Lytechinus pictus: one gene and its partners. The protein of the gene in region 2 purifies or fractionates together with the protein of the main gene of each other region. This does not show direct contact. Links are inferred from orthologs where the notes say so. Each region holds a gene or a part of one and is shown on either strand. Other genes may lie near its edges.

Region 1 (7,158 bases), on a different chromosome or scaffold from region 2:
CAGAGACCCTCAAATTTGTGGTTTCTCGTTCCAGTGTGCGCCCATCATGAACTACTCAGCCGGTCAGGACGGCGAACTCGATCGACGAGGAGTCATGTGAGTTTAATGTGGTCAGTTCCGGAGCAATGCATTTTTAGCTATTTTATTGATTCAAGGGCAGTTCCGGAGACCCCCATTTTATTTTTAAAGGCCAACATTTAGTTCAAGAGCCCCATGTTTTTTACTTTGGTGTGGCACACTATTATCATGTTTCGAATAGCCCCCCGGTAGACACCATCTATTCATATCACCCATTTTATCTGCCATTTATTTAGTACTGTAGATCTAAATGCTGGTATTCAGAATGCTCTCACTCATAGTCAGTCACACAATACACTAAGTGACTAACCCAGGGAGCTCCGGCCCGCGAAGCGGGCGGGAGCCCAGGAGTCGTCCATGTAATACTAGTCAAACATATACTCTCCAAAATGGGGTCTGAATAGCACTTCAAATAAAAGGGGAAAAAATAAATTATGCACTTACCTCGATTATATGGATGAAGGTCTATCGTGACACAGCTATCCTGACATCGAGGCACAAACTGGACCCTCAAAAAAAGGAAAAGTTGTTTCTCGTTCGTTTTCCTTCTGTCAAAATTAAAATCAATATGGCCGATCGATACCAAAACGAACGGGACATAGACGTCTAACTTTTTCTTTTTTTGAGGGTCCAGTTTGTGCCTCGATGTCCGGATAGCTGTGTCACGATAGACCTTCATCCATATTATAATCGAGGTACAGGTAAGTGCATAATTTACTTTTCCCCTTTTATTTGAAGTGCTATTCCGACCCCATTTTGGAGAGTATATATGTTTGACTAGTATTACACGGACTTCTCCTGGTCTTGTGGGGACTAAGACAGCTGGCAGCCGTCTGTTTCGAGGAGTTTTTAAACATTTTTTTATTTTTTTAAATTTCTCCTTGTACACAGACGGCTCGCTATCGTGCAGCCACCATTAGGGGACTTACAATGCAAAATCCCCCCGACGGGGCTCATCGATTTTTGTCTTTATTTCATAAAAGTATTGAAAAAGAATTGTAATTTGTACCAAATAAAAATAGAGATTATTCTGTTTTTTGACATACTTCGGCTGTCGCGCAACTTCACTTCCTTGTTTTATCCGAACTTAAGTACATAAACATATGCCATGGCCATTGACTCGATTGAGTCCCCTGTACTGGCTGTACAGATCGCGCTAGAACTTCGGTCTCTGTATTTGGTGAGTGGAGCCAACGGATCGAGTTCAGCGGAACAACCAACATAACACTACAGAGACCGAAGCTTTTGGTCTAACTTGTAATGTTAGTGGGGACTACACGAACCATCGCCTGGGTTGAGGTAATTCACGGTTATTGTTGACTTGTCTTTCTTTGTCGGACGTAGTGATTTCCAATTTGATTTTAGAACAAGAAGCTTAATAACTTATTAGGGTGTCTGGAGAAATTTTTTTTTTTCTTATTTCAAGAAAATATCACATTTTCTTTGTGAATTTGAAGAGAAATGACCTTCAGACTGACAGAAATGTAACATTTTTGAAAAAAATCCAATTATTGGCTGCAAAAAAGAAGAATGAAATTAGGTAAATTTTCAGCATTTCTCTGCCATAGACTGTGTAGTTAAGAAATGGACACACACAAATCCAAATTTTTAGCTTCCGAGAGCTGTTATAAATTTATTATTAATGCCAAAAACTTGTCCATAAAGAGTCCAATAGGATTTTTTATGCTCTATCTGATGGTATGATTTTTATAAAGATTTGGAAACCAGATCACAATGAAAAATTGCGACAAAGTGAAAAAAATTGTGCAAAACAGAAATTTCATTTTCCCATAGAAAATGCATGGAGAAATGGCAATCTCTACACACACAAAAATAAGGGTTTGCAATTTATCTCTAAATCCTTATTTAAAATGATCATATAAACTTGTCCTTACTGTCAAAAGAAGCCCCTGAATTTTCTCTTTCCATACATGCCAAACACAAGTTAATAATCAATTCAGATCACATTTTTCTAGTAAGTAGTAGCCAACGGAGGCAGTGTAGCTCAGTCGGTTAGGGCGCCTGTTCCGGAAAAGATCGTAGATCTCAACGTGCGTGGGTTCGAGTCCCGCAGCATGCCGGAAGACGTCTAACAATAAAACTGATGCTAGCGTTGTGTGTTAGCGTGCCTCACCGCTGTGTTCAGTGCGGGTGTGAATGCAGTTGGAAAACACTCCGTCCATCGGAAAGGACGCAAATGTTGGTCCCGTGTATAGGAGAGTCACAACCTATGCACGTTAAAACCAATACACTCTTCGTCAAAGAGTAGGGTGTTCACCCGGTGTATTGCACCTGCCGGTCCCCGGTACTACAATACTGCAAGAATCTTCAGGATTGAAGGAGGCAGTGTAGCTTGAAGAAGAAGAACTTCCCCGAAAAAATGTGCCATATTTTCCCCTGAATTAGCCTGTTTTATGCCGACAGTGACACTTTTCAGTGTGGCTTCAGACACCCTAAACTTATAATACTTAGGGCCTATATAGGCCTACTTAATTAACTGCCTACCGATGCGATTTTCAATTTGATCCGATTTAAAACATTACAGCATTTGGCCTTCAAGTTCAGGCATCATGTTATCCAATTCCAAGTTTTAATCCCCAGTGCTCACGTTCATTCACATCATTCATGCCATGCCCATGGCGACGTTATTCCAACCACAATACACAAAAACAAACGACCGGTCCCACACGTAAAAAAAAAATCCAGATCAGATTCATTGCCACTTCATTCAGACAAACATCTGTGAAATAAGTGAACTAAAACTCATTTAAATTATGAATTACAAATGTATTTAACACTTATTCATCAGCCATCATAATGCATATTGGAAGAGTAAGACGTAAATGATAAAACAAAGACAAACCTGTCAATCGCCTTCAACTCTTTCCTTTGCACGCATCGATTGCTGCCATGTTTTCCGCATTCAAACTCGCCGCTAATCCCGAAATCAAGCGATTTGATTGGCTGATTACAAATGACTGCTCTTTATGCATGACGTACCGAATCGATGAGTCATAACAAAGACACGGGGCCCGAATTCACAAAGGTCGACTAAGCTCCTTGACTAAAGTTATACCGGGGTATAAAACGCGTCATTTGACGTCATTTTAATCCATGGACTAAAGTTAGCACCGGGGTATAACTCAACCATGGGTTAAATTTAACCCCGGGTGCTAAAGTTAGTCCATGGATTAGTTAGTCCACCGTTTGTGAATAGCGCAGTGGACTAACTTTATACCCGGGTGTTAGTTAACCCCCCACTAAATTTAACCCCGGTATAACTTTAGTCGACCTTTGTGAATACGGGCCACGGGGTGTGAAGTTTTATTCGCACTGTCATTCCAAATTTTAGGGGAAATATGAATGCTTCCATATCTTAATGTGAAACATAACTTGATTTTTCCAAGAACATCATCAACTCTCTCTGTGTAAAATTTCGCCCACGACCCCTGCGCTATACGACCATGATAACATTTTTTTTTACAAACTGACAAATCCAATATGTCATTTTACTTTATTTCAAATCTAATTTGGTTGAAAATTTTAGGCGTTATGCCTGCTTGGTTTTCTCTATTTATTCAAATCAACTTTTGGTCGGGGTAAACTTGACCTTAAAGGACTCAGCCAGCCCCCCCCCCCCCACCGGCCGTTGGAAAACGTTCAGTATACGGGAAGATAAAATAAAAATTTGACAAGCGAAAAACAAAAGAACAAAAGAAAATAGGTTTTCACCAAAAAATGAACTTCATTTCGCCTACGTAAAGTTTGAAAAGCAAAAAAAAAAAAAAAAAGGGTCCTCACTAAATATGTTTCAATGACATATTCCCATGCGGCTGTGACTTTCAAAAAGCTAGGGAGCCGGGGGCACGTATAAAAACGGCATATTTACATCAAAATTTTGATTATGGCTCTCAAGGGGGCGGGGGGGGGGGCACGGGCCAGATGTGCCCCCTGGATCCGCCACTGAGTCGGTATAATCGGGACAAGTCAATAATATACACCAAATATACAGTGCGTATAAAAAAAAACCGGGACAGATTTGAAAAGTCTATACATTTTTTGTTTCAAATTATGATGTCTATATTTTGGTGTTAATGGGTGCTCTGAAGTCTCATTTTTCAAATGCCATTAAAAAAAATAGTTTCGTTCATGCTTGAGCGAACACGGAATGTTTTTGTCTGGGGGCTAAAAAGGAGGCTTGCGCCAAAATGACATAAAATGATAAATATGATGATCGGACTTCTTGCTAATCAGCAGACTTTTCATTATCTTTGCCATAATTTTCGAATCATACGGTTAAAATTCATTTTCAAATCTTCATTTGCTTGAATAGTTCTGTTGTTGTTTCTTTCAATATGTTCTCTTTTAGCTTTCAATATTCCTTCTTAAAGGTATTGTTTAACTTTGTGAGCAGCCGATTTAAAAAATTCTCAAACCAAGATGAAACATGTGTACAAGTGCATGTATTAGAACTAATAAACCCTGAAAACAACCATTATTGAGAATGAAAAGCTAAAACTACAAGGCAAACCCCGATTTTGTAAAAAGGCGTCTACAAGACGCCTAAATAGTACACATAAGTGTATGGGATGAAATTAAGATGGTGTTTTCGGTCACTTTATATTTCAATTTTTGAAGCACTAAATAATTATTTTCGAACGCAATTTTTTCTGGGCTTCATTTTTGTAACATATCACACACACAGGTGACAAGTGTGACCTTCTAGCTCAGATTTTTAAAAAGTCAAACCAATGTTAACCAATCACTCTAAAGCAAAAACAAAAAATTTTCAACCGAAGTATGGAAGAGCGTATACATTTTTTCAAAAATCCTTTTATTGTGTGCTACAAAGGTTATGGTGCCTTTGAACAGTGGCATACAGATGGGCGGGGGCTCGGGGTGTTCCCCCCAATAAAAAAAGTGGAAAGGAAATAAAAGTAAAGATAGAAAGTGAAATATGATTTATTTTCTGAATATTATGTCAAAATCTATCACAAAATTTGATATTTTAATAAAAAAGTGGAAATTTTTGCTTGCTCGCTTCGCTCGCTCACATTTTTATTTGCATTTTATCCGATCTGCCATATCTAGCTCATTCAAAATTGACTCAATACACCATTGCCATTGAAAGACATGAATTATTTCCTGTTTGTCCTGTCAAGCACACAATTAAACTTGCTCAAACCACTTGAAAATAGGATTCATGTTTTTTTAGGTACCATAACATAATTTGTTTCACATAATAAATACAATTTGAATAATTACAAGTTATCACAATTAATAATGCAAATATTCTTGCATTGGTTGACAAAAAGTCTTCTTTTCTTTATTAATGAAGGAAAATTCAAATGTTAAAAAAAAAATAATGAAAAAGCAAAATAATTCAAGTAAATAGATAAATTTTTAAATGAAATTTGACAGCATAGTTCAAAAATCATAGCAAAGATAATGAAAAGGTTAAGAGGAAGTTTGCTGATTAGCAAGAAGTCTTATCATCAAATTTTTCATTTCTGCCATTTTGGCACAAGCCTCTTTTTGAACCCCCGACAAAAAAGGTCCCGTGTTCGCTCAAGCATGAACAAAATTTATTTTTTTTTAATGGCATTTCAAAGATAAGATTTCAGAGCATCTATTAACATCAAAATATAGATATCATAATTTTTTATAGACTTTTCAAAACTGTCCCGTTTTTTTATACGCACTGTATATTTCCTCGCACTTCGAGTTGCAGTGACATATGCCGTTTATCATGTCTACACACTTAAAATGATTGCCACCTCAATATAAAACAATTCTAGTACGTGCTTACGTTTGCATTAGTGGATTGGTGAGATATGTCTGCTTTTTATGAATTCCTAAAAATAGTCCTTAAAATGTTCCTTTTTCTGGTCTGAATATAAAAAAAAAATCAGTTCGCGCTTCGCGCTCGCAATATTTGATCAGTGAGGTACGTATCATGTTCATGATAATGACTACAACAAGTGCCTCATGTGTTTAGGTGTAAACAAATCAGCAAGCGATTGGCGCTTGCATTAGATGACCATGTATGCTCTTCATGAATTCCTCATGAAGCCCTTAAAATGTCCCTGTTTCAAGTGGTCAATATATACATAAAATGTCAACTCGCGCTTCGCGCTCGCATTGCTTGTTTTGTGAGACATGTACGTATCATGATTACAAAAATGTGCTTATAATGCTCCCTTTTTACGTTTGAAAATTTTTCAGCTCGCGCTTCGCTCTCGCATCGTTTGGTTAGTGAAATACGTATGGTCTTAGTGAATTGCTACAAACAAGCCTTAGAATGCTCCTCTTCAGGTCTGAATATCAAAAATTTTCAGCTCGCACTTCGCGCTTGCATTATTTGATCAGTTAGATACATATCCGTTTAAAATATCTCTGTTAGGTCAGTATACGTGGCAATTGAGCGCGCTTCGCGCGCCCACTTAGTGACTCAATTTTTTGATGGTGCTCCCCAATGCCGTGACCACCCCCCCAAAAAAGAGAGAAATTTGCTGGAAATCGTGGCACTATTAAACTCATTTAAAAGTCTTTTTGAATAAATATGTTTTCAAAGTGGATTTAAACTTGGGTGGAGAAGAGTTCTTTACATATGATGGAGTGTATTCCAAAGTGAAGGGGCAGCATGGGCAAAGGATCGTTCTCCATAAAACTTGGTCTGAACACAAGGACAATTTAAAAGATCCTTCTGAGCTGATCGAAGATTACGAGATGGCACATACTTAACTAAACAATCAATAAGATATTTTGGAGCCATTGCATGGAGGCACTGATAAGTTACCCCTTTTTACAAGCAGTACTTTAAACATTACACGCGACTGGACTGGGAGCCAATGTAGTAATTTTAAGACAGGTGTGATGTGGGAATGTTTTATATTACGGGTGACTAGTCGTGCTGCAGAGTTTTGAATTACTTGTAATTTGTTTATTTGGAAATCGGGCATCCTATATAGAGTAAACTATTGCAATAATCTAAATGACATATTACATGAGCCTGGACAGGCTGCTTGGTAGTCTTTGCATCTAAGAATTGCCGAACCCTACCAAGTTTACATAGAACAA
Region 2 (7,885 bases):
GATATTCTTATCATGGAATGTCTGTAAGAAGAGAAATCAACAATAAGTTTGTCTTTACATATTCATTTCTTGACCACTTTCTTCGATTGAAGTGTCACATTAAAGAGTAGATATTACACTTTCTAGACAAGTGATTTTCTTTGTGAAATTCAGATACTGCCCAACAAGTGACTTTTAGTATCCTTTCTTCAAAAATTTTGTTTTTACTCACTCATGCATGAAAAAAGAGTTATCTAAAGTTATACCAGCTCGAAGAGGAGACTCTAAGCTTTACAATGGTGGGTCGTGTGTCTATTGTATTTGTGATTAAGATATGATAAATCGTAGATAATTCTTGGTTCTGTTTTTTCAAGAGATGCACTACATATCTATCTATCCATTTATCCATCCATCCATCCACCCATCTATGTATCTATCCATCCATATATCAATTTTTCTCCCTCCCAACCTCCCAATAGATCAATGTATTATACACTGGTTGACAGTTTGTGATTTCGAAATTAAGAAAAAATCTGTTCCAAATTCATCATTACCTGGTAAAGTTCTGCTACATCTATCCAATCAGATGGCAGGGCAATGCTGGAGCTGAAATACTTCCTGAGAAAAGGTCGGCACTCGGGGGTCATGGCCGCAAGAGCTAGCAGGAAATTGGCTGTGGTACGTATATTCAACTCCTTCCTCGTATACAGTGCAACCTGATTAAAGGCAAATGACACATACTATATTTAACACTGGAACATAAATATTAGGCCTACTCTTTTTTTTTCTTAAGAGTGAGCATTTTTCATTTATGTTTGCAGTTTATAAAAACCTATTCATGACATACAGAATGACCTTCAGGTTGCAAGTCATCTGTGAAAAACAAAGATAGTCTCTGTGAGTAGGCCTGCGTATCATTTGTTTCTATCAGTTAAATAATTGGCAATAAATTGAAATATCTATACAATCATAACCTTCATTGCCACGTTTAAATTGTCTGAACTAAAAAAATATGGAAAACCCAAGAAATATTAAAAGACAGTATATGCATTTCTAAGATTGTTCATCAAATATTAGACCATGGACAGTAGGTTCCATAACATTTGCTCCGGCGACAATTGCTCTGATGGAAAATCTGCACATTATTATTAAGCCAATCATAAATTCTAACCTCCAAAACCAAATAAACCCTAATATGGAGCAAATGTCGCACGAGCAATGTTATGTCACCGGACAGTAACTATTAGATACAAGACATGTTTTGACCAATCATACTTAAATCATAGCCCTAACATTCATTGCATGAAAGTAGTACAAGGAAGAAAACAAATCCCAGCAATGTGTAATGATGTGTTAATTGGGTAATCTGATACTTGTAACAATTACCTATTCTGTTATTCTGCCAATTTTATCAGGAAAATTTTCAATATCAGGGAGGTCATTCATAAATTAGGAGATCAACGTAATCAATAATAGGCAATGAATAGCATTCCGCATTAAAATCACTGAATACAAAAAAAAAGGCTCCCTGAAGATGGTAGAATTATTATAATGGCAATTCCCAGCATTCAAGCCTTGCACAACTTTTGACATCAAGGTTGCAATTTAAGGGGTGTAGTGTATTTCAAAGCCTTGCATCAGCCATAAAAGTGAACCAATGCAATATGCACAGCTATGTACACATTACAACACATGGAATCATCTGAAACATACATGCTTTGAATGGGGAAAATTGACTTAGATACTCAGTTTAAAGCAACCATGTCCTGGCGTTATGCAATCAGATGAAATAAAAAAGTTCCTGCATGTAGCTATCAAAGTAAAAAAATAATAAAAAACATGACAACATTCTGTAAAAGCAAATATTAAGTAATCAGATACAGAACATACGGTAATTGTCACTAAAACATATTCTTATATTCCTCATACTTTGACAGTTGACACTTCCTAAACATCTTTAAAAAATAGATTACCATACTTCTTTTTCACAATTTCAGCCTAATGTCACAATAAGTTGAAATATATAAATCAAGGCATCGCTCCGGTGACAATTGCTCCGCTCTAAATTCCACACACTAATCGAATAACCAACTTCAACCCAAGGTTTAACACTATGCCCTACCCTAAGCTTAACCTAAACCCAACATAAAACCCTATAGCAACCCTAACCCTAACTCTACACCTTAGACGAAATCAAGCCCCGGAGCAATCGTCCCAGGAGAAAATGTCGTATCACCCTTCAATTTCCCTCCAAACATTTGGAATCCTTCTGCAGGAGTAATTCTCTTTGCTCACCTTTAGAATAAATTCAGGATCTTCATTGATGATGGAAGTGGCCTGCCTGTTGATATTCTTTCTTGTGCTATCTCCACGCTCATGAAAGTTTGGGCCACCGATCAGGGAGGCACTAACAGCATTGATGAACTGTTGCTGTTGAATCAAAATACTTGCAATAAGCTACATTATTTCATAGCTATTTCATAACTTTTCAAAACAAATAACATGAACATGTATATTTCCAGTTGAATGAAATACAAAGCAAGTTGAAGGATATTACAATAACCCTTAACAATTTAAATTTCTTTAAATCAATCTGATATTGTTTCTCAAAATGATTGACAAAATTGCTTCAAGAAATGATCTTATAGAATGCATAATGTATAGTCATGATTGCTAATGGAGATGTACTATGAATCTTTCTTATAAGATGAGTTAGATGCCTCATTTAAAAAAAAAGTAAACACAATGTATTTAGCTTGGCCTGATAAGTTGAATAGATGAATTTTTTAATTAATACTCTACCTTTAATTTTGTTGAGTAGTTTTCCCCTGGCTTTGTCGTCAGAGTTTTGGCCATGTCCAGCTTCTCAAACTGGTGATCATATTCCTGCACAGCTGGCTTTGCAACTGGAAGCTGTCGTGAGAAATCGTAGTCTGGCAGCTCACACGTGGTAAGGGTTGGGTCAATGACATTGTCCTCCTTCGACTGCTCTGGAAGATGCTGTGCTTTGATCTTCTTGGTCTTGGACTCCTCGGCTTGGGTGCTGTTGCTACGGCTCAAGCTGCGGGTCTTCTGGGAACCCTTCAAGACGCTGCCGTACCCTGAGGCTGATAAAGAGGATGATGATGAGAGAGAGCTGCCCATCGATAGCAAGCTTCCGCCTGCTAGAAGGGATCTTCCAGAGCTGCCCTGAAGCTTACTATGCAAACCAGTATTGGCTGTTGCAGAAGAGAGCAGCTTGTTTTCAATCAGTGGGGACTTGGTGCCCAGACTAGATGACTTCATGCCCAGGTTAAATTGGGACTTGCCATCTTTCTTCGAGACACCACCAAGCAGGGAGCTTCCAAAGAGGCTGCTTTTTTGGAGGGACATTCCAGTGGACGTCTGCTTGCTTGGGACCGACGCTTGACTGCAGCCATCATCCCTTGCCTTTCGCTTTGTTGCTGTTAGACCAGACGACAATGAACCCGTCAACAGAGGGTTTGACAGGTAACTCATCTTGACAAGTCGACAAATTTAATATCTAAAGTAGAAGCTGATTTTTTCCTCACTCATAAGTATGAATTATTCTGCATTTAAGAGAAACAGATGATTGAAAAAGAAAATCAATAAATTGTTGATTAGACTTCTGAATGGTAGTACGAATTTAGGATTCAAATTCAAGTAAGCAATAATTAAATGATTAAAGTTTTGTGAAATATAACCGAAATTTATATCATCCATCTTTAAAAGTCAACTCCAAGTAAATCTGCACATCAAATGCAATGCATCATTGGTAGAAGAGCTCTGCGGACATTGAAATGCTGATATTTATAAACAACACACTTTTGATTGAGAGATTTAATATTCCTTTGGGAAATCATTTCTTCTAAATATATTTCTGAACTTATTGACAGTATTTGGCCAGTAGCTATCTCGCCTGTATCTCACACACAGTTGCCCGCAGAAGCGCACACAAAATCTGATGAACTGATTTGCATGCAGAAAAGTTTTGGACACGCTCATGCTCATGCATAGGTGGGAAGTAAAATTGGTCTGGAATGGGAAACCTCTCTCTTAGCTGATCCCTCCGCTTCTTTGGAGATACCTGGACTCTGGAGTCTTCTCTTCCTCTTCTTCTGATGAAGTACAGTCCATCGTCTAGTTATTGTACTGTATTTGACAGGTCTGGTGTTGTGGAGTATGTACAGTGCCATTTTAAAAGATTCTAGCAATCTACTACTTTTTACTAGGCCTACATATTTTAGTAAAATATTTACTGTCATCTGAAACTGTTAATTTAATAAGAGAAACTCCTGTTTAATCAAACCTCAACTTACTTATTTTTCTTATCTTACTCCTGCTCAATAAAATAAAAAAAAATAAGACAAAATTCAAAACACCATCTTGACTCTCGAAGCAGTCTACAGGAATGAAATTCACTCAAGTGTCTCACTCTCAGTGAGTCAGTCAAACAAGGTTCAGTACCGCTACTACCGGTAATCGGTATTCAGTCTTAATTTCACTCAGACACACTTGGCTTGCCTTGAAGTTGATGAAATTACCTCTTCTTTACTACAAGCAGTGACATGACACTCTTTCCTTACTCCAAATTCCAATTTGAACTGAGCTTCATCTGTGTCTCGTACAGCTCTGTCTCTGCTCGCTCTACATCATGTAATGTAATTTCCGAAGTCTGTCATTGTCAAGTGCCATAAGACTGAGCTGAGCTTGTAGACTGTAGTTACATGTATGCCGAGGATCACGCCCCTGGCCCAGCCCGGTACCTTACCGCGATAGAGCAGGTCCCCGGAAGTTCAGGGGACAATGGTCTTGCACCATGCCTACGCAAGGATCAGCAATGATGCAAGTTCGCGAAATCTCCGTGTTTTGAAATGTCTCCCTCTCCGGCTACACTCTTGCAATTTCAACGATGATTGGCTCTTGATCTTTCGATCGATCGAGCGCGCTCGCTTTTTGAATGCAATATTGTGCGCAGACGATTTTTATGCATTTTGTGGCTGACCGATTTTCTTCTGAATTTGAGCAAAGATATCACCAAAATAGCTGTATTTCTGACTAGACAAGGGATCCCAACATGAAGCCAACGTAAGTAACTATCAAAGAATAAAAAACATGGTCACGACGAAGGTGGTCTGGATAATTTAAAGTATAGGTATGAACCGAGCCCTCGGTCATTTTCCACACAATATTTTTCTTTTTAGACCATTTTCATTACTGGCGTACCGGTATGCAACTCGTATGCATACAATGACCAATTCATTTATCACGAATCCGTGTTACCCTAATTTGCATTGCACAGGAGCCAAATCCCGGGGGCCCAGGTGACCATGCATACGCATACCATACTGTTTTAACCATTTTTGTGCAAGAAAAATGCCAAGACTAAAGACTTAAAGTTAGAGAATACCCACTGTCTTGCCTATATAATTCTGTGAATGAATATTTATTTTTAGCATGTTTAGTCAGTAATTTACTTCGTGCTTTTTATCGTTGTGTTGCTTTGGGCTTGGCCATTATAACCTCGTTCGTAGGATGAGTGGGCTTGGCTTTACCTTTGCCTTGGGCCGGCTTTGGCTTTACATTTTTGTTTCATGTTTGGTCAATCGAAGTTGGATTTTGACTTTTGTTTGAAACTTTGAGTTTTTATTTTTTATTTTTTTGGCTTTGAGTCATTGCCTTAATTTTGTTCTTTGTCAAGACTTAATTTTTAATTTTAGTTCACATCGTGTGAAGTGTCATCCAATGTTAACAGCTGGCAGCCGTCTGTTTCGAGTAGTTTTTTAACATTTTTATTTATTGTTAATTTCTCCTCGTACACAGACGGCTCCAGCCACCATTAGGGGATTAACAATGCAAAATCCCCCCGATTGGGCTCATCGAATTTTGTCTTTATTTCATAAAAATATATAAAAAGAACTGTACCAAGATAAAGATGTTTCCGTTTTGGCCTGAAATGCACCAAAACTGGGAAAAATAAACTTAAAAGGGGAAAAAACAGTGACCATGGTGACTTACTTCGGCTGTCGCGCAACTTCACTTCCCTGTTTTATCCGAACTTAATACATAAACATATGGCCATTGAGTCCCCTGTACAGATCGCGCTAGAACTTCGGTCTCTGTATTTGGTGAGTGGAGCCAATGGAGTTCAACGGAACAACCAACATAACAGAGACCAAAGCTTTTGGTCTACATCCAATGCAGCGTCGCTTCGTTTGCACTCATCTTTTCACCCATTTTATCAATCATGTTTTTCTCTTCCTTTAATTTAAGTTGAACTAGTTTTATAACATGATGTTCAACATGCATCATCATGTCATACATTATTGATTTGTTTTTAAATCTTTCTACCTTTCTTCATTCTTATTTCTTTTATTTCTTTCCCCTGAAGCTTTTATTTTTTCTTTCTTTCCTTCTTTCTTCCTTCCTTTTATCTTTTTTTAAAATTCCTTTTATTGCTCCTCATTTTTACTCTGTCAATTCATACAAAAGTACCGTAATAGAACTAAGGTGTAATTCATTCTTTTTTTTTCTTTCTTTCTTTCCTTTCTTTTTTAAATTCCTTTTATTGCTTCTCTTTCTTTTTGGCTTTCTGTCTTCCTTCTTTCCTTCCTGTCTTCCTTTCTTTCAATCAAACAAGGATGTAAAATTGTATTTGTAACCTTGTGCATCTGAGGGTTGACATATTTAGACATCTTCCTATGTATCGATGTGATTTTGCTGCTATCATAGAAGATTAACTGTATACGAAAGATACTTCAATGAAATAAAAAGTAATATTTTTTTTTCCTAACCTTCCCATTGGGGGCCCCACGTTTCATAAAAAGTTACAACTGTTGTAACTTTGCCATTATGACAACTACCATGGTAACCTTGATTTTGATTGGCTGCTGAGCCCAGTGCCATGGGACAAAAATGTAATATAATTTCTTGTATCATTTCATGTTTTTTTTTAGACGAGGCAAGACCCCTAAGAAGACACCTCGGAAGCCCCCTAGCTGTGCTAAGGACCCAGTAGAGGTAAGATACGGAAGGTGAAAAGTGATCGGAGATGACAAAATAATTCAGGATGAAAATTTCGTGTTGTGTCTTATCGAGTGAACTTGATGGGAAGTACATGTACAGTACCAGTCACAATTCGTTGACTACCTGTTTACCTGTTTCAACCAGAGAACATTAGATTCAGTGGACCAAATCTATTATTCTCTGGTTGAAACAGGTAAAAAGTCAATATCAATTTTCTCGTCAAGTCAACTTTGTCTGACAAGAAGACAAAAAGTCAACTTGATGAGGATGCCTTCTTGCCTTCCCATCCTTGTCAAGTCTGGGCCCTGTAAAATAAAGCCTAGTGATCGCGATTGATTGTGATTCACCTGAGTTTTTATTATTGATGATACACGATTATAAATGCATACAATCATAGACATGGGCCTCAAATTAATTGCTGTGCACTATGTTACACGGCCTTGATTAACAAGATGCAGAATCTTGCCATTTTGTCATGTCTTCCTGACTAGTTTACTTTATTGTATAATATACCCAGTATCATTGACATTGTCTTCCGGATTTATCTTGGTTGATTGGTGCACCTTTAAGATTCTGAAGTACTAGTTAATTTGAGATCAGCTGAATGTTTAATGAAGCACCTTGTCGGTGCTTTTTAGGGTTGTTTTACATAACAACGCTTCTTTTTCTGAGCCAATTAGTTGCAATAATTTCAGTGGTTTTTAACAGTTGTCAGTGAAAATTACTAACTATATATTTGTTCCATATATGTAGTGCTCCGCAGGAAAGTAGATGAAACAGATGATGAGGATGGCTAAGCTATTTAAATATAATATAAAGCACTGGGGCGGTATTCTGAGGTCATTTTATCTTTAAAATATTTTATTTTATCTCTTATAAT
Region 3 (7,056 bases), on a different chromosome or scaffold from region 2:
TATGAACAATGGACCTAACCCCTTTTGAAAAATTAGCTTTTCAAAATAAATTGTTTTCAAAAGGGGTTAGGTCCACTCCAAGAAAATCAAGTTTTTTTTATTCTCCCATATTGCAATATTCTTATGCGAAACTAAATTTTCATGATACCCTACCATGAGAACATAACATTGGGTATAAAAAAAATCTACCTGTCTTCATATTTTTAAAATATTCTTTTCCAAAAAATACTGTGTGGACCTAACCCCTTTTGCAGCCAAACTGAAATGGACCTAACCCCTTTTTGAAAAAAAAGTGATTTTTCTTTGCCATTTTAGATCACTTTTTAATGAGAATTTCAACTCTTCTTTGGTATCATCTTATAGAGCTACTAAAAATCTATACATTGAGACAAAATATCAAATTTGATGAAAAATGGACCTGAAAAATGGTCTGAGCGTTTCAATCTCCAATGATCAAAACCGTCTCTACCCTCCACGTGTGCAAGTTTTTGTTCTTATGTAATAACACATCGTATGGAGATGGACTGCAATTTCAGATGAAGAGATCGAGGTCAACAGGATTACCTCACCTCGTAACATGATGATGATGATGATGAACCCCTTTTGCAAGTGAGCTCTTCATAAATTATACTTCTAATTATTACAAAAAGTACATTTCCAGTTTTCTCGTCGGAAAATGAAAAATTAAAACTCACGTTTCTTGCTCGCATCAGTTCTGTTCATCTATTCTGTACATGGTAAAAAAATGCTAACAATTTCCAGATTAAAAGTCAAAAACTTTTAAATTTTCAGTTCGTATAGATAGGCCCTATTATACCTATTCTTTTCATAAAGTGCAAAAAATTTCGGGTTTAAAATTCGGGAAATCTAAAATTTTCAGCTCGCGCTAAATATAGTTTAGTATCATCTTAATAACCACGAGAAGCAAAGTTTTTCAGTCTGAAAATGAAAATCTTAAGCTTGCACTTTATTGTTTGGTTAGATAGCATAATTATGTTCATTTTGACAAAAAGTGCTCAAAGTTTATTATACTGCTCGCACTTTGCGTTCGCATTATTATGACTGGTGACAATATCATTTTTATGAGTCACTGGAAACCGTCATTAACAGATCAATAAATACATTTTCAGCTTACAACTGAAGACATGGAAGATGTCTCTTTTTCATAATTTCATTGTACAAAAATTTAAGCCCGCGCTTCGAGCTCGCATTTTTTTAAAAATTAGATATACATCGTGTTCATCATGACAACGACTAATTCAAGGCACTTTTCTTGTCTGTATTTATTTCCATATAAAACAAAATATATATACATGATCAAATTACAAAAAGAAAAAGAAAATCGTCAAATAAAATATGGAGGATCGCCCATTTCAGCGGTATTAACATAATGCCGCTATTCTTCCATGGGGTCCTTTAATTGCAACGTAAATACATATTATAAAAAATAATATACACTGTAAATACACAATACTTAATCGAGTGCATTACAAGAAAAAATGCAAAGACTAAAACTAAATTACGGTAAAAAAATATCCCATTGTGAAAATGCCCCCCTCCCCTTTAACCCACCCTCTAACTATTGATTGCCTAAACGCCCAATTTAGTCTGTTATTACACCGATAGTCTGTTATTACACCGATTGTCTGAATGTGTCAATTTCATAACTGAAAAATTTTCGTACCTTGAACCATCATATATATTTTGTAAACCCTTTCATTTTTCAGTTTCTCCGATCTAAATTTATTTGAAATATAGGAATGGCTTTTTTATTGTTTGTGTAGGCCTATATATAGGCTTACTTAGTAAATCAATTATTAGTTTCATAAGCCATGATAGTCCTCAGTGAATTTAAGTTTGTTTAATACCCAAGATTATTTTTCAATTCTCCATAAGCGCGAATTCATATCACATTTTTACACAAATTCCCAATATGCCGTGGGGGGGGGGGGGCATAGGCTGATTCGGTGATCGGGTAATGAAGCGGGCAACGGTGCCTTGCCCTACTGGCAGCGCAATGAGGTACCGAGGTAAATAATAGAGAAATTAAGAAGAACGTAAGATCGGAGGAGTAATAGAATCGAATAAAATATAAGGAGAGGGGAATAATTGAAAAAAGGGATAAGTTTCAGGTCAGAAGTACTGATATAAAGGTTTAAAAAAATGCGATTTCGCAATGTTGCCTATTAAAAGAAATAACAAGAGTATTATGGGCTTGCAATAACCCATTATCAAATTAATGTGCACAAATTTTTCTGTTCGCTATTCGAGTTTCCATTATTTTCTTATACGCATTTTATTCAAAGGTCAAATCCACCCCAGAAAATTTTCGATTTGAATCAATCGAGAAATATCTAATAAGAATAACGCTTAACAAAAAAATCAGATGTAAGTAAGAAATTTAAGACATTTTAAGGTTTTGCTTATCTTTCACAGAACAGTTATTATGCACAAATCATTGACAGGCAAATTAGTGAGTCGATGATGTCCCTCACTATTTCGTTTATATTGTTTGAATCGTACAATATTTCATTTTTTTAGAGATTTTACAATAATTAATTACCATCTTGGCTGAGTCATATAATTGTAAATGTTCAGGGTGTGTTTCACAGGAGAATTATAAAGGAGAAGAATATTTCAAACAATGAAAAAAAAAATCGTGAGCGGGTGACATCATCAGTCCCTTTATTTGCATACTATCACTGTGTTGCGAAACTTTAGCAAAAGTTGAAAACGTCACAATTTTCTCATTTACATCTGATTTTGATGAAATTTTCGGTTTTATGCTGGTTGGATTATTTTTTTCTTTTTTATTCAAATCATCTTTTAGTTGCATTTTGTTGGGTTGGACTTGTCCTTTATATAGTTTTGAAAATGGGGCTGAACATAAATGTAGGCCTATATATATATATATATATATATATATATATATATTCACCCAACAAAGGAAATTATAATTGGTATGGTGTCGAAAATCTGTCTATTTGACGTTCAATCGGATCGGGGTCGCCCTAGCCACTGACCCGTCTCTGCATGCCGGTGGTCTATAGTGGTTAAGGCACCGGCGTTCAAAGCTGGGGGCCCGGGTTCGATTCCCGGCAGATACATTTTTTCGGCATTGCCAATTTTTCCAAAAGGGCAGATAGCTCTGGGGAACCTTAATTTAAGCTACGCATACCATTGTTCTCTTCATCCATTTCTTTCACAATATATTATATATATATACCATTGTTCTCTTCATCCATTTCTTTCACAATATATTATATATATATATATATATATATATAATATATTGTGAAAGAAATGGATGAAGAGAACAATGGTATGCGTAGCTTAAATTATGCGTAGCTTAAATTATATGCCATGCACCGCTATATATAAAAGGTTCGCATTGTTTATATGCCATGCACCTCAGCGGCTGGCCAACTTGAACAAAATTATCTTCAGGTAAGTAGGCCTACAAGAAATGTACGAATTAGAGCTCGTGCTTTTAAAGTGTTCCGGCGTTCTATAGTGAGACAATAAATCAATTAAGGAAGAAAGAAGAAGAAGAAAAGAAAATAAGCAACAAACAAACAAAAACAGCAATGATCGATTGAATTTGCATTTCCTCCATTACTTCTCATCAGAGAGAGAGTTACACGTATATAAGGACAGTCTTTTTCCCCTACTCTTTCTTCCCAGTGGCGGCAGTGGGATTTCGAAAATAGAGGGCAAATACAAATAATAGGCAATAGTGTCTATATTTCCCACTACATTTTTATGTGGTAGTGTGTGGGGGGTGCATCAGAGGCGGATTTACATTTCAGTTTTCAGAATTTCTGTGGGAGGGGAAGTGCTCCTGACGGAAGGGGGGATAACCCTCACGTCCGTCCTCTCGCGGTGCCACCGATGCCATTCCCCTTCCTCATTCCACTCCTTCCATATCTATCCCAAGGCAAACTTGAAGTTGAAGGAGCTTTGGCCTTGTTCCCCTCTCTTTCACATACTTGGGAAGTGCACATATACGTACACCTGTACCTGCGCCTGCGTCGTCTTTGAGGGGGAATTCCCGCCATGAATCGGATTTAATCAAACGCTCAAAATTACAAATATCGGAGCTTATTTGCAAAATATCCTTACTTCATGCTTCAGAATGTAGACAATTTGTAAACTTTTTAGCATAAAATAATTGCGAAAAAATCCTAATAATGAATTTCTTATCAATTAAATACACAATTCTCAACATGTGGGACTTACATTTTACCAATAATTTTGGAACGAGCCTGTTGATAACGTCACCACGCCCATGACAATTCACTTCAAAGCTGATATGTATTCATGTACTTTTTAAAGATTTCATGAAAATTTGTTTCTTTGCTCCAACAATAAAAAATATAAGTTAAGTTGTTATTTTTATTATGAATATAAACTCACATAATCTACTTTAATTCAGGAAATAATGCAAAATATCTCAGCTTCAATGAGAACTTTATTTTTAATCGCTCAAATATTATGCTTTGTACTGCGGTTTCACTCACCGCGCGCGTATAATTTACTTCCCGTGCTCGATGAATGAAAAGAAAGTGTCAAACGTTACTTTTTCTGCATTCGACTCTTGTCCATCGTCGTCACAATGTTTCGCTTAAGGACATTTGAGGTAAATAAGACGTAATTTATGTTCTATTAAGCGTTTGATGAATGTTGGTGATTGAATTAGGGACTTATTTTATTCCCGGAAGTCGGTAGTGTATGCTTGCGGCACGTTCGTGTACTGAAAGTTACAGAGACGTCGGGTGACGTGAGCTGTGTGTGTGAATAAGGTGAGCTGTGTGATAAGTCATCTCCCTCATTGATGCGTGCGATTTTTAATGCACGCACTTCGGCTAAACCCCACACGTTTTCGTGATACAGTATTCAAGAAATAACATGAATTAAGTCTAGACTAAAGTAGTGTTGTTACCCGCAAGGCCGCATGCAACTTAACGCAAGTGTAATTTGAAAACCAGACCCGGCCGTACCGTAGTTGTACTCGTAGACCGTCCCATATTGCCATAAACTTTCAACTTAATTTAATTAAAGACAAAAGTCAATGTTCTGTCGTTAACTTTATTATTAGAAATTAGAAATACAATACTAGATCGAGCAGCCATTAGATTGAATTTAGAGGTGGTGGTCAGAAGAAAATTGAGATCTTCCCACTGGTATTACAGGCTGTAGTACTACTAGTAGTACTAGTAGTAGTAGTTAGTAGTCATGGTAGGGTGACTGCACACGTCACAGAGCAAAAAAAATCGCCCTTTTCACCGCATTCACACAGCCAAAAATTGTCATGGTTTTGAGGGAAAAATCAAAGTTCAATGCATTTCTGACATATGATCCTGGGAAAGAGTTATCTATGCACCCCCCACCAAAACTAACAAAAGATTGTCGAGACTTAAAGTTTGTTCACTTCAGATTTTTCTATTATTTTTTTACTGTTGCTTTATACATGAAGATACCTTACTTACAAAACTTAGTTGGGACTCGAACTCACCTCGTTTTATCTGCAGTCAAGACCTCTTCCCGCTATGCTAGCGAAAAGCGCTGATACCGGAAGGGGTATTTTAACAATTATCAGCTGATAGTTCGACTACATGTAGTCTTAACTCACAGTCACTCATAGACCCTTTACTGACTAAAAATAAACCGATGTCTGGACAATTACACGCACTAGATCCTGCGCGAAATTTGACAGAATAAAGCCATATTTTGGTATGTATTTCCACTCCCCCATTATATATGTTGTATATTAGGTCAGAGATATTATTTTGAATCTTCTCCATGTTTTTATTTTCAATTTTAGTGGGGGGTGCATATGGAAATCTTGCCTGATCCTGTTTAGTGTTGGGCGTCGTCCAAATTTAATGATTTTGGTATAAAAAGAGGAAAGACTGCTCCAAATAACCTACTTCGTTTACATCTTTTTACTAACATAATTTTGATGTGGCATTTAAAAAGGAATTTTAAGGTCTTGTATCTTGTGAATAAACATAGATTTTGCATGTCTATGTATTATTGCACTCAATTCAACACATTCACTGAGAAATGTACAAAAATAAATGCTCACTTTTGGCATAGGGCGCTATAAATGTATGTATGTTGCCATGATTTAGTGTCCTATACCAAGAGCATGCTTACATTTGTAATACATTGATTACTGGACCTTCCTCATTGTACTCAGCTGAATGAAGCACGATTGTATACAGAAAGTCTGAACAGGCCTTGAGTCGAACCCATCGTGGCAAACATTTCTGATGGAATTCATGCCTTATACATGTATGTTCTAAGTTCAGGGTTTCTTTTATAATTTCCTCTACATATTTTTGGTTCTGAAGTGCAGTTTGCTATTGTGAATGATCAGAATAGAACTTACTGCCAATAACCCTTTTCTTACTCTTATATTTTCTTAAAAACTGTCCTCTAAAAGACTTGGATTTTTACATAAAGATACAAGAACTTTGTTTACTATCAAGAAAAGAAAAAGTTTACGGGGAAAATGTAACTATTAAAGTCTACTTTAAAGTGGAGTGGGGGTCTTAAGTGTTGACCACTACGTAGTACATCTTTAGTTTTGAAAGATTAACCAGTCAATAAGATCAGGGGCCCGTTGCAGAAAGAGTTGCGACCTGGGGCCTGTTGCAGAAAGAGTTGCGTTTAAACACAAGTCCCGAGTACAGGTGCTTCATTGACTGAAAATCAAGTTGCGCAAGATTTTTTTAGTTGCGTTTGATCGTAGCTCTTTCTGCAACGGGCCCAGATCTTATTGACTTGATGTCAATTGCTCTGAGTAAATATGAAGGATTTGTTCATGTTTTGATATAAAGTTTATAAATCTTTTTCTTTTGAGTGAAAAAAAATAAAACTGCTTCAACAAACTGCTTCAACAAAAAAAGTCAATAATTTGTACATGTTTCAATGGAAGTGATTTAAATCAATGATTAAAAAAAAAATCATGGTGATTTGAATCGTGATTTAAATCAGCCAAACCTGAGGTTACTTATTATGCTTAATATAATGGGCTTGACTCGCTCCATG

The links.
Region 1: the proteins of kinesin-like protein KIF23 (region 2) and protein ECT2-like purify together in Homo sapiens (co-immunoprecipitation; 3 studies listed by BioGRID and IntAct, with this or other methods). This does not show direct contact. The link is inferred for Lytechinus pictus from reciprocal best matches to the Homo sapiens genes KIF23 and ECT2.
Region 3: the proteins of kinesin-like protein KIF23 (region 2) and ADP-ribosylation factor 6 purify together in Homo sapiens (affinity purification with western blotting; 3 studies listed by BioGRID and IntAct, with this or other methods). This does not show direct contact. The link is inferred for Lytechinus pictus from reciprocal best matches to the Homo sapiens genes KIF23 and ARF6.

Annotation. Positions count from the first base shown.
Region 1 is NC_087260.1:15,023,008-15,030,165, reverse strand, and holds the start of protein ECT2-like, read right to left. Parts: upstream 3,054-7,158; 5' UTR 2,942-3,053; exon of another isoform or gene 2,584-2,941; intron 1-2,583. UniProt on the Homo sapiens protein: Guanine nucleotide exchange factor (GEF) that catalyzes the exchange of GDP for GTP. Promotes guanine nucleotide exchange on the Rho family members of small GTPases, like RHOA, RHOC, RAC1 and CDC42.
Region 2 is NC_087247.1:11,418,611-11,426,495, reverse strand, and holds the start of kinesin-like protein KIF23, read left to right. Parts: upstream 1-4,871; 5' UTR 4,872-5,056; coding exon 5,057-5,067; intron 5,068-6,935; coding exon 6,936-6,999; intron 7,000-7,885. Other genes in the region: telomerase protein component 1-like, read right to left, coding at 1-21, 534-695, 2,275-2,409, 2,782-3,477.
Region 3 is NC_087250.1:26,846,921-26,853,976, reverse strand, and holds the start of ADP-ribosylation factor 6, read left to right. Parts: upstream 1-3,985; 5' UTR 3,986-4,639; intron 4,640-7,056. UniProt on the Homo sapiens protein: GTP-binding protein involved in protein trafficking that regulates endocytic recycling and cytoskeleton remodeling. GTP-bound form plays an important role in the transport of multiple palmitoylated proteins form the Golgi to the plasma membrane.